Bombyx mori: one gene and its partners. The protein of the gene in region 2 interacts with the protein of the main gene of each other region in a pairwise test. Links are inferred from orthologs where the notes say so. Each region holds a gene or a part of one and is shown on either strand. Other genes may lie near its edges.

Evidence for each region.
Region 1: the proteins of segment polarity protein dishevelled (region 2) and tyrosine-protein kinase Abl interact in binary tests that used the Drosophila melanogaster proteins (3 or more experiments, as listed by UniProt). The link is inferred for Bombyx mori from reciprocal best matches to the Drosophila melanogaster genes dsh and Abl.
Region 3: the proteins of segment polarity protein dishevelled (region 2) and Ubx interact in a two-hybrid assay, tested with the Drosophila melanogaster proteins (2 studies listed by BioGRID). The link is inferred for Bombyx mori from reciprocal best matches to the Drosophila melanogaster genes dsh and Ubx.

The regions. Positions count from the first base shown.
Region 1 is NC_085107.1:85,978-89,629, reverse strand, and holds part of tyrosine-protein kinase Abl, read left to right. Parts: intron 1-632; coding exon 633-783; intron 784-858; coding exon 859-1,015; intron 1,016-1,090; coding exon 1,091-1,188; intron 1,189-3,652. UniProt on the Drosophila melanogaster protein: Arm and Abl proteins function cooperatively at adherens junctions in both the CNS and epidermis; critical for embryonic epithelial morphogenesis regulating cell shape changes and cell migration.
Region 2 is NC_085130.1:18,594,988-18,599,418, forward strand, and holds the start of segment polarity protein dishevelled, read right to left. Parts: upstream 2,830-4,431; 5' UTR 2,739-2,829; coding exon 1,857-2,738; intron 1-1,856. Other genes in the region: uncharacterized protein LOC101735736, read left to right, coding at 3,968-4,034, 4,112-4,200.
Region 3 is NC_085112.1:6,103,896-6,108,311, forward strand, and holds the start of Ubx (ultrabithorax), read right to left. Parts: upstream 2,887-4,416; coding exon 2,424-2,886; intron 1-2,423. UniProt on the Drosophila melanogaster protein: Sequence-specific transcription factor which is part of a developmental regulatory system that provides cells with specific positional identities on the anterior-posterior axis. Binds the consensus region 5'-TTAAT[GT][GA]-3'.

The DNA of each region.
Region 1 (3,652 bases), on a different chromosome or scaffold from region 2:
TGCGTCGCTGTGTAGACGTGGCCGATCCCACAGACAGGTTCCGGTGTAATTAAAAAAAAAACCCAATGTTCTTTGTATGGTACAAAATTCACACAATAATACAGTAGGTGCTTGTTGAATAAAACAGTTCATTCGATTGTAACGTTATAAATGAATTTCTTAAGCGACATTTTCAGACTTGTAGGTAATTGTTAAGTGAACGCCCTGTACTCGTCGACTCGCAACACATCGGTTTATTTATTTGTTTACACAAATATTTATTATACATTTTATGGTGACTGATTGAAAAATATTACAGTTTCAATTTGTCATTATATTTTCTTTTAATCAATGCGGGAGTGAAATCGTTTCGCTTTTTGCAAGTTTAATATTGGAGACATTTAAGAGATATGTACAAATTACAAGAAATTAAACAAAATATTAATTTATGGAAATGAGAGAAGTTGCACGTCGAGTGCTGGAGGCGGGGCGGCGGCCGAGCGCGCAACTTCACGTATCGTTACATAAGCCGATATCGATAAACAGAAACCATTGTTGCGCATTTGATGGTTTTTTTTTTGTCATTTACGTAATTGCTTACTCTTGGAGCTGCGCGTTAGAACAGTTAACGAAGGAAGCATGTGGTGGCGCAGGGGTACCGCATGGAGTGTCCCCCGGGCTGCCCGGCGCCCGTCTACGAGCTCATGCGCGGCTGCTGGCAGTGGAGCCCCTCCGAGCGGCCCTCCTTCCGCGAGATACACCACGCGCTCGAGCACATGTTCCAGGACAACTCGATCACAGACGGTGAGCGCCTCGTTACGCAACATGTACTCGTACTAACAGCGAGCGGCTGCTATAGATGTCAACGGTGTGTTTCAGAAGTAGAGAAACAACTCCAAGAAGGCAGCGGCGCGCAGGCCGCCGGCACCCCGCTGCTGTCGCTGAAGAAGACGAGCGCCGACCCTCGAGCGGTGCAGATGCGGCGCCCGACCAACCGCCGCGGCAAGCAAGCCCCCACCCCTCCCAAACGCACTAGGTAGCGCACCCGACCACAAGTAACTGAACACGACCCCCGCCACTCATCGACATACTCATCGACCGCGTGTTGCAGCCTGCTGTCCTCGTGCAGCTCCTTCCGCGAGTCGCAGTACGCCGCCGACGAGCACGCGCCCGACGACGCGCCCGCCGACGCGCTCGCCGACCTCAACGGTCAGTGTCTCACGCAGCGTCACGCGCCGTCACGCACTCCAACAACCGATATAGTGCAATAGTACGCCTCCGCTGTACACGGAGGATATTCATTACGGAATGAAGCGGCCATCGCTTTGTTTGTTTTTAGGTTCCATGTTAAAACTCATACCCGGCTTACTTGACGCTATAACGTTATTCGTCTAAATGACGCACTACAAGTATACCGACGCGACCCACGCGACCCACGTGACCCACGTGACCCACGCGACCGAGGGCGACTTTGTAGTGCGGTACTTACGCACATAGCTCAAGTCTTTTTTTTATTTTTGAAGATTGAATATTTTGGCACTTTGTACGACTGCCAGTCTAGTTCACAGAATAATGGTCCTCACACTAAAAGACGCAGGTATTGTGCATAATGGTCAGTTCATTCAGAATCTTCTTGACGGCAATGTATAAATAATATTAGATGCGGTTTAACTTACATACGTTTTTTAAATTTTATATTTATTTTAAAAATTATATAATTTCTAAAATGAAATTGACAAAAAGAACAAAAATACAACAAACCGCACGCAGCTCGAGATAGGGATCAGAGACCTTCATGGAAATGTTCTTCAAATTTGTAAGAAGAGTACTCATGTTTGTTAAAAGTGTACACACCGTCAATTATGCTTTTTGTTATAATATTTTTATGTACAAAAAACTAAAGTCAAATGTCCTCAATGTCTGTACGTATTGTACCATAACTCAATCTTCGGAAGTAAGATAGAATATAAGACGAGTAGGCTCTGAGGCCGCGCGCCGGCGACACACTGCTCTAAGATACTGTTTTCTGTTTGCCGTGTCTCGGTGCAGCGGCCTAGCGCTCGGAGCCCGCGCTCTGTAAGTATTCCACGGCACCTGCTGCTCTAGCCCTATCCCTGCTTAGTGTAAGATGTAGCTCCTCACACTCGAGTCTGTGTCGGCACCGCGCCGCGACCTAGTCTGCATGCTCCGTCCGGCGTGCAGTAGGAAGGAACGAGCGCCGCCGAGCCGTCCACGGGTCGTCAACAATGAAATTTGTAGCATCGCCAACATTAACAGCCTGCTAGCTGGCATCGGCGCAGTATTTTGACGCTTAGTTTTTTAATTTTTTCATCGAACAGTCACGTATGCTCCCTGTATATTCGTACATATGTACTAAATCAATATTGAGATGTTTGATTGTGATGTGAGTAATGAGTCTAAAAGGGTTCTATACATCATTAAGGTCGTACATGACTCCATCCTGTCTGTGAAACTGAAACAACTTCGACCCGGCTGTAATCCCTCCATCCTTAAAAAAAAGACTAGGCTCTCAATGCTACGCAGGAGACAGTATCTTTGTATGCCAAAAGAAAAGTCCACTGTCTGTCTGACGCCAACAGAATAAAAAACAGATTAGATAAAACAAAAATAACCTTACTTAAAATGACAATATCTGGAAATTTTGAATATATCATTTGACACTAATAAATACATATAAACATTACTGATATTTAAGTTAGGTCCGCTTCTTGACATTGTCTCAAACTGCTGGCACAATAATAATTCACTTAACTGTAGATTATAATTCAAAATTTTAAGTTAGATACAAAATGAGGAAGCGTAGGTATATTGCAACACGGAGCTGCGTTGTTATACGCGAACATTGAGGAACCGAGAGTAAAGGATCACTCTCATCCGCTCTGTCGTTGTCACGTTGTAATTGTTATGGATACTGGTGACGCTATTTGTGACAACCTGGGCGACTTAGACTTCCCACGTGTTCTCACAGCAGTTGAAGTGAATCTACTCGGCCTACTCGCAAAGAAAAATAATAAGAAAATAAAAAACAAGTAGCAGTATGACTCACCACCAAGTGTCTGCACTGATAACCCTAATGCTATCAAACTGACTAAGTGTAGGGAGGGTGGTCTAGTCCCCGTGTGCCAGCTCGAGCAACTGGCTAACGAATCGACTACTGCGCGATAAACGCACGGTACCAACCCACTCGACTGCGCCCCGCATCCTCTGAGTCTAGCCCTCTACGTGACATTTTTTTTGTGATTTTGTCAGCTGCTTAGCAAGAACAACTTGAGTTCCGACAATGCTAATGTTAGTGGACTGCGTCGACGCTGCGAAACTGGCAAACATTGTGCATTTTTCTACAAATTTCATAGTTGACGAATAGTATTTTACTTGATCTGTTCATTTTATAGTTTTCCTGATTTGGGATAGTTTAGTTTAGATTTGGTGAAATAGTGAAGTTATAATCCTTTTTATATTTTTCCCTCAATATAAATAATTACGTGACTTGAAAATAGCATGCATTAATTTTTGTACCTACTTCCAAAGACAATAATACTTCCGGAAACTGTACATCTATTCTTCTCACTCTTTACTTTTGTCGTGCTACTGAACTAACCGCGTGCAGCCTTGTTGCAAGATTGATATTGGACTAGATTTTACCCGCGGCCTT
Region 2 (4,431 bases):
GAAATCGCCGGACTTCCGCCCTCCACTGGGGATAAAGGGCGGAGCATGTCAGAGTCGAACTGACTAAAACCTCTTGTCGCTCAACAACCAACGTCCAAACCTCGCATGAGACAGAACTCATGAAGAGGCAAAGGGGGGAAAGTGAAGCGTTTAGTGCGGAGCACATCTCTCCCATCACCCTCCCACCAGCCCTCTCGATCGGCAGGCTATCCGGAGCCCGCCTAGATGGCGCCGGTTAGAGTGAGCTATCCTACGGAATACCCCGCTGGGTCAGAACCAGCGTGGGTCGAGGATAGCCGGCCTTCCATCACCCGGATGCTCTTGCGTAAAACGCGTGCAGAGCAGCTTGCACGTCGTCTTATTAGGCCCCCCTCGCCGGTCCCCAGACCGACATGTGAGGGGGGACCCGAAACACTTAGAGGGCCAGGGACATTATAAGTTAGATTAGTTTTCGTTATCGTGTTGATTTGTGCAATAGTTGCAAGGAACATTGTGTACAAACTCTGCACATTTGTCTTGTTTAGTTGTGCGCACATGGCTTATGTTACAAACCAGATTTTTACATGGTATTTATTATATATTTTAGTTTTTTTTTTTATGATTTAGGGTTTACTGGTGGCCAGGAGGCCTTTTTAGTTTCACAAGGACAGGTTAGCAAGCAAGGGCTCAGCCAGAAGGGGCGATCTTTTTAGTTTGTAATGTGTATTGTGTGCCTAATAAAAAAACACAAATAAACATTGGTGGGCTGTGAGCTCCTCCACGCATCTAAGCAATACAAAAAACTCCAATCTGCTTTTTAGGTATTTAAAATACTAAGATTTCATATTATTATAGAGTTGGTATTGTATCATACAATATACTTCTGCATCTCAAGATCTCATCATCTACATCTTTATATCACAATGGTATTAGTGTCTGTACCTTAACCGTTACTAATTACTTTATTATGGTATGGTATGATATTTGTGGATATTTTCTGCAGTTAAACGAGGAGACAGCCATCAGAGAAATGTGGTGACAGGTTGAGAAGCTTGCCACCAACACCAATCAAATGATAAGCACAACCACACTATCAGTGACACAAGACAAAGAAGAACCCAAAATGGATGCGGTAAAAAACACCAACAAAAGAAATTGTTAAGGGCACCTTCCAATGGCAAGTTACAGCAAATATATGAAGATACAAACATAGAAGGTTAATGTTGGACAGGCGACCCACCTCACGACAAGAGGACATGTTGCACATTTCAGATAATGTGGGCTAATGGCAATAAGAAAAAAAGTTAAGCTAAAGTAAAATGAAGACAAATTCTATGGTTCAGAGTATTCATTATAAGCAAGTAAGCTAAAACATGGACAATGCTGACAGAAAATGAGAATAACATAGCCATTGTAAGATGGCTTTGCTAAGATATCATCCTGTTACTTAAATAGTACATAACTCCATCAAAATTATAAGATTTATCCTTTTAGAGGTTCATTATTTTTATCTTAATCTTTTGTTCAGTGATTATTAGTGAATGTTTCTTATCAATCCTGTTATCTTTTAGATTAACCAAGCTTAATTTTAAATTTAAATTAAAATCTGATCAATCCATAGCAACTCCCAGTTGAAATTTAGCCAGCTTACACTCCATGACAAGGTCATTAAGGTTTTGTTTTTATCCAGCTTTTATCATTTAGGTGTTTGCACAATCAAGAATATTAAGAATAAGCACCATGATAATCACAATTTCAAACATTGACAAAGGTTTCCCTGTTACCAGCAGAGTTCTAGTTCTGTTACATAGTTCTAGATAGCTTTATCTTGCCAACTTTAATAGTCATGGTTGATAGGTAAATATTATGAGTCTTACCTGCAGAATCATGTCACCGGGCTCTATTCTTCCGTCTAGGGCCACAGCACCGCCCTTCATGATACTTCCGACGTAAATTCCACCATCCCCACCCTTGTTGGACTGCCCCACTATCGAGATCCCCAGAAAATTGACTGTGTCCATATTTAAAGTAACAGTGATAATGTGCATAGACATTGTAGAGTCCGTGATCGAGGAGTACGATGACGTTCGGGACATAACTTGAGGTCTTTTCCGCCGTCTTTGAGGTCGTTTTCGCGAACTCACTTGAAGATGCGATACACTGCTACACTCTGTTAGTGCTCTGTCTACTGAAGCGTTTGTGTGGCGACCTGTTGTATTGGTTATTTCAGATTGACTGTCAAACAAGCTAGTCGAGTCTAAATCCGAGCTTAATACCGAAGCAGTCTCATACTCTAGGCCATGATTGCCAAATTTCGAGTGTCCATTGATTCGGAGGCCCCTATATTTGTATTTGTCGCAGGAAGCTCTGTGCCCCGGTCGGGAGCTTATCGTACTGTCCGTATCCGTACAGGTGTCCCTCGTGAGAGGCGCCGCTGGAGCTCCATGAGCTGGTTTTGTCTTGCCTGCGTTACTGTCCGTACACTGGGAGCCGCCGTCTGAGGGGTTCGAGCCCTCGGCGGATACGAGCCACGACACAACACGACCATTAAAACACGGCAAATGAGCGTTATCATCGACTATTTCTTCTTTAACAACACCAAAATCATCGTCCATCGATTTAAAGAAAAATTTATAGTTCGGTCTGTTTAACTGATTTTTGAAGTCTAATAACGTAACTTTCTCGGGTGAAATAGGTATTTTAACCAAATACGGAGTTTCTTCATCGTCTATGTAATAAATTACTTTCGTTTCCTCCATTTTAACACATTTATTTATTGAAAAACAACACTCCCTACGATCTATAAATATCAGCCGCCATCACAAAAATGGCTACTAAGTGTAATTCAGTGTTGCCGCTGGGCAAACATTGGGTTGCCGTACTGGAGAAAAAAATCTACCGTATTTAAACAAAAATTGCCGTACAAAGTAATTCAAAATTTCAAATTTCAATTAAAAGTATTTTATTATTTATTTTAGACTAGAAATTAAAACAGTATATATTTTTCACTCCTCTCTTCCCATCAAATCTGTATTATTGCCTAAAGTAAGTTCAGTTTCAATAATTTCATTTTTTTCGTAATTTGATGGTTTTTTCATTTTATTGATCATTTCGGGGGTTGGCTTATAGTTCGCACAGTTTGGTTGATTTCTGACAATGCACTCTTTTGGTAATAATGTTCCATTTATGGTATATGTTAAGAGGCGGTTTCTTTGTTTTGTTTTGATTAGGTTTACGCATTGAAGATTCTTTTTTATACACATTTTATACACTATCTCACGTATCGCTACCATGCACTTTTTCAAAAGATAAAATTGCTAGCTAGCTACGCTTGCTAGTACTAACAATGAAACAAGAGCGAGGCGGCGAGGCGACTTGAGGAGAGGACTTAAAGAGCAGGCGTTGTAGATTATAGGGAATTCCTCGTACCAAACATGAAACATTGTCTATTATAAGAGCTGGATGTGTTCATGTTTACGCAAAAAGTATCCACGTCCTGTAATTTCTTTGGATACATTAATTGTTTTTTAACTTTATGCTCTTGTTAGCCGACTTAACCTAATAGGTATATGGCACTAAAAAATAATAAAAGAAATGCTCTTGTTGCCGTATTTTAGAATACGGCAATGACCACTCTGCCGTATGCCGTACAATTTGTCTTTTAGAAGCGTGATTGCCGTACGAAACGGCAATTGCCGTACATTTGGCAACGCTGGTGTAATTCCGCTACTTGCCGATACTGAGCGCTAGGGTCGCTTTATTCGGATACGCCATAAAGCAACCTCGAATATTTACTATTGTTTTTTGTTTCTTTTCACTTTTGACACATGACTGGTATGACTTTAATCTTTGTTACAAATTCTATAATCGTATTGGCTATATTCCCTTTGCTTTCATAAACCTAATTCTTAAAAAAAAAACAAATTTCAAAATATTTCAAAAGTTTTGTCGTTATCTTAAAGTACGAATTTCCAAATAATAATACACAATGGAATCAGAAGATTGGTGTGCCGTGCTAATTGATAATATCGACAATTTCTTCAAGACACTTGATGGTAATTGAAACAAATGTTTTCAGATAAACAAGGAATATATTATAAAGTGCTTTTTTAATTCTACCAAATGTTTGTAGATAAAATTGAAAAAGAACAGCAACAATTAAAGGCTAGCCGAATGAAAACTGAACTAGAGACGAAATTAGCCCAAGAAACGAAAGTACACGTAAGTACAGTTTTATTGCTTTTTGTGTTGTTTTTTTTTCAGCTGTGACATTATGATATTTTATTATTATTACTTAGATGGGTGGACGAGCTCACAGCCCACCTTACGGGAGCCCATAGACATCTACGATGTAAATGCACCATCCACCTTGAGATATAAGTTCTAAGGTCTCAAGTATAGTTACAGCGGCTGCCCCACCCTCAGACCGAAACGCATTACTGCTTCACGGCA
Region 3 (4,416 bases), on a different chromosome or scaffold from region 2:
TTTTGTACAGTAATAAGGTAAAATAATCTGCTATATGTAATTGATATTTTTCAATATCAAGTTTTGAAGAATCGGAATGTGTAAAAGCCTCTACAGAACGAATGTGCACCAAGTAAGAAGAGAAAGATTCAAGTCGCTGTTTGAAGGGTCATAATAATTGTCGTATGATTGAAAATGAAAATTATTCCACCAAATAATTTTTCTTGTTTTTATTTTGTTCCATTTAAAAACCGCTTGTAACAAATTTAAAAAAAAGAAGTCCACGGCCCTGTAATTTAAGTCCTCAATTATATAGCAGTAAGATCGGGAGCATGTGATTGCAATTTCGAGCTTCAACTTATACCGTATTTATCGTTTGCTTCACTAAATTAGTTACATTTACAGCTCCACAATTTTTTTTTCTTTCTATATTTATAGGAATTTATACCAAATTACCTATGTTTTAGGTATTTATACCAAAAAAGGTTTACTTTACAGGTATTACAAATTAGCAAACTGTCCAAATGAACAGCAGGGACCGTTCATGGACAAGCCCGAACTTTTCATACATGCCACGTCCAACAAGCGTCCTTGTATTGTTTCGCGGCCTGTGTTGCGTGAACCCACAGTGAATTATAGCCGACGGTTCGACTTCTCATTTTATTTTGTTATTTTTTAGGCCCTGTTACTTAATTTTTATCAAGTCGCATGAATTATGACGAGGCGGGACCACACGCGTAGCATTAATTACTCGTCGCCGGCCCAGGTGAACTAATCGATTCAATCGAAATTCGAATAGGACTTCTTTTCCAGAAAAACTACTACGAATGAGAGAGAATCGATTCTTATAAGACTTAAATTCTAATCTATACCAACTAATATGCCGTATTAGATATTTTGTAAAACATTTTTAAAGCGTTATTTTATCTTTTAAGTGCATGAATTGAATGTTTACCGAAACGTATGTTTGAAGATTGAAGCGCTCTTAATGGGATGGTCATTTGTCGAATGGTCAGTGGCAGTAAGTTAATAATAATGCGCCCAAAACTAGACCGGGCCATTGACCCGGGCGGGCGGCGCGGGCGCACCTCTCCTGCCTCGTTGGGCCACTAAAATAGCGCTTTTTGCTTTACTTTATGCCTACACAATCAATTTTGAACCTGAAAAATTTCATCTTAAAGTATGTGTTAAGTATTGAAGGATTGTTAAACGTTTTATTTATTTTTAGATAGTAATAAAATAAATATACAACTTTTAATAATAAATAACTTTTATTTTATTTTATTTCTTAGCTTTATTAATGTATTTATAAAATTAATTTAAATTGTTATGGGTCAGAAAAGAGAACACAAGTAAATATCGACAACATATTTGTCTCTTTATTTTACATTCTCTCGAAATATTTTAGTGTTTTGTCGTCCGGTAAAAAAAGTAGGTATAATATGTTCTGCTAAATCTCCGTATAGTCCAGTCCAAGATTAAATCGTATTTTAATTCACAAACCTTGTTAGTTTTGTTCCAAAAAAAATTTTAAGACACGAGAACTTTATTTCAAATAATCCAGTTCCATAGCTCTATAATTTATATACCAGTTCCGTTGCTACGAACCATCAACATTCAGGAAGTCTACACCAAAGATTTTATGATCAAATCACTGATATCAATTTATCGTTACAAATTAGTAATTTGGAGGATCCTGAGTTTTGTCCGCAATAAAATTATTAATGGTACTCAAATCTGTCTCACTAATAAGGTGTTAACGAGGGTCGTTCGTTTTATGTGCTTTTTATTGACACTTGATTTGTCGGCTACCTGCCGGTTAGTATTGGACTCTTAGGAAACATTAATGGACGATTCTGAAGTGGCCCGATTATGTGTGCCAAACAGGATGGCAGCATTTTAGTGATTTTTACGGGGTATCGGACGTGACATATTTTTGTTACGCCTCTCATTTCCACTTATGTATATTAAATGTTGACGAGTTTTTTATGGGAAACGCAATATATTTTTAAATATAGAATCATAAATTTCAGTGATATTTGTAAACAAATATGTAATATACAATATTAATAGGTAGAGACTTCGGCAATTAATTTTATCAAAAAAAAAACTGCACCTACGATCGCAATAATACACTTCAATCGAATATGCAATTTCGAAAAGGGCACATGTCGCATATTTTGTCAAATACGTTTTTTCATATACATGTAGTTTTGAGGCTTACCTACACCCATTTTATAATAATTCCCGTAATTTTCAATTGCTAATTAACACTTAAAATATATTTCAAAAGTTAATATTTTAAATTTTACACTGCTTTAGAAAATAATCAGTTTTTTTTCATTTCCTGAACATTTTACATTTTCAGAGGTGTGCCCTTTTCGAAATTGCATATTCAATTTATATAGAGTTGTGATCGAGATAATTTTTTTTAACTTACTAACCTGCTATGGCCATCCAAGGGTAGAAAGTGTGGTTAGTAGGCTGCTGGTGCACTGGCTGCGCGGCTGATGCTGCTGATCCCGGAAGTGCACACTGGTTGCCCCACGGAAGCGCTCTACCAGGACTTGACGACTCACTGTATCGAGCTTCAGGAGTGCATGCTGCCGGCCTCACTAGTGCTCCCAGACCTGAGCCCCAGGCTTCTTTCCCACCATAGCCATTCTGCTGCTCACCGCCTGGCTTTGAACAATCTGCTTTAGGATATTGCTGCTCTCCAGCATAGAGCTTGCAGGCCGCCGCGACAGACGCGTCGTACGGTGAATCCTGAGGACGAGGCTGGTGCAAAGCGTGTGGCTGTGCATACGTGAGGCCCAGAGGGAAGCCGCGGTACTGGTCTCCACCACCGCCGCCCTGGTGCACTCCATGGGCCCCGTAAAAACCACCCTGCTCGAAGTAAGAGTTCATCGTGACCAGTCACAGGCACTAACGTCACTCAGGGAACACTTATGTCATCGCGGCCCCGCGCGCCGTGATAACGCGACCTCCGCCAATGTCACACCAAATACGGACAACGTAATTTATTTTTATTAATTTTATTGCCTCTTAAACGTCACTAAAGCGTCATAATGGGCTTCGTCGGCGATAAAGGCCAGTTGACGTGTGTTTACTTTTTACGATTATTTTACGACTCGGGAGCGCGTGCCGCGGGTTTTACGACTTTTTAAGCGGTTTCGTCTGCGGCGCCGGCTCGTCTCAGGACGTCAGCCGAGAGCGCGTCTCCACTGTATGAAATCAGAAGTGATCGTGGTGGTGTATGGGCCGGAGGCTTGTGTCGCGAGCGAAGTTTTCCGTCGCGTGTGGCGGGAGCGCGCGGCTGTGTGTCGTGTGCGACCGGCGCGACGCGGCTCACGCAATGTACTGAGCGCGGCTGAGACACGCGCGCCGCCCCGCGCTCACTGCTACCATCGCAGCCCAACGACTATTGTTCCGTCCCCTTTTCGCTAATCACTATAAATATTATCAGTTACGCTCTCTTTTCCTTTCCTTATCACACCCACTCGAGCACGTGGCGAACGTTCGTCAAACAAACTAGAACTTTAGCTGCTCTACTTCAGAATACCTAGGTTAATAACTGACATTTATATGACTTAAGAGAGAACTCAATAACATCAAATCCTATTATAAACTATATGTTTTCTTTTAACAATTTATGTATCTTCGGACGACCGCGTAACAAAACTTTTGAAGAGCCTCAACAAAAGCCTCAAAAATGAATAGAACGAAAAAGTTAAGCCGCAAAAGTCGTAAACTCATAAACGTACAATTAGTGAAACGGGCGAGTAAAGAAAAGATTTTACAGCCACTCGTCGACCGTGCCACAATGAGCGTTCAGTATCGTAACAAGGTGCTGAATAGAGTGAGAAGTCGTAAAGATGATTATTATTTCTTCTACTACCTGTTTTTACGAGTGATGTTTCTATTGCTCTCTTGCTTAAGGCGCCCGTTCGAGAGCGAAAGGGACAGCGCGTCGAGCGCGGAACGGTTATCATCCGAGCGGGGCTGATTAGTGTATAGCGGTCTTGGTCTCGCGCTGTGTAGCGCATGCAGTGGACAACGCACTATCGGAGGGTAAACAATAGCGCATTATCGCGAGTTCACTTCGCGCGACCAAATGAAGTCGTCAAACGAATGAATGGTGCGCCCTACCCTTAAGAATTGAACGCATTTTTATTGCGCCTTCGTATGTAAATATTTCCTTTAGATCCGGGTATTGAGACGTTTTTTTATTTATTTATTAAAAATGATATATGTAAAATGACAAGTTTAACACTTTTATTTTAATTAATAGATAATGGTGGTTTACGTTTCATGAATTAAATATACTTAAATTTTTTATGATTTTTTAAAACTTACCTTATTTCAGGTTTTCGTTAACTTGCAAAATAACTTATTGAACCAGAACCAAATCACGACACCAAACTAGAAATTAAGAAA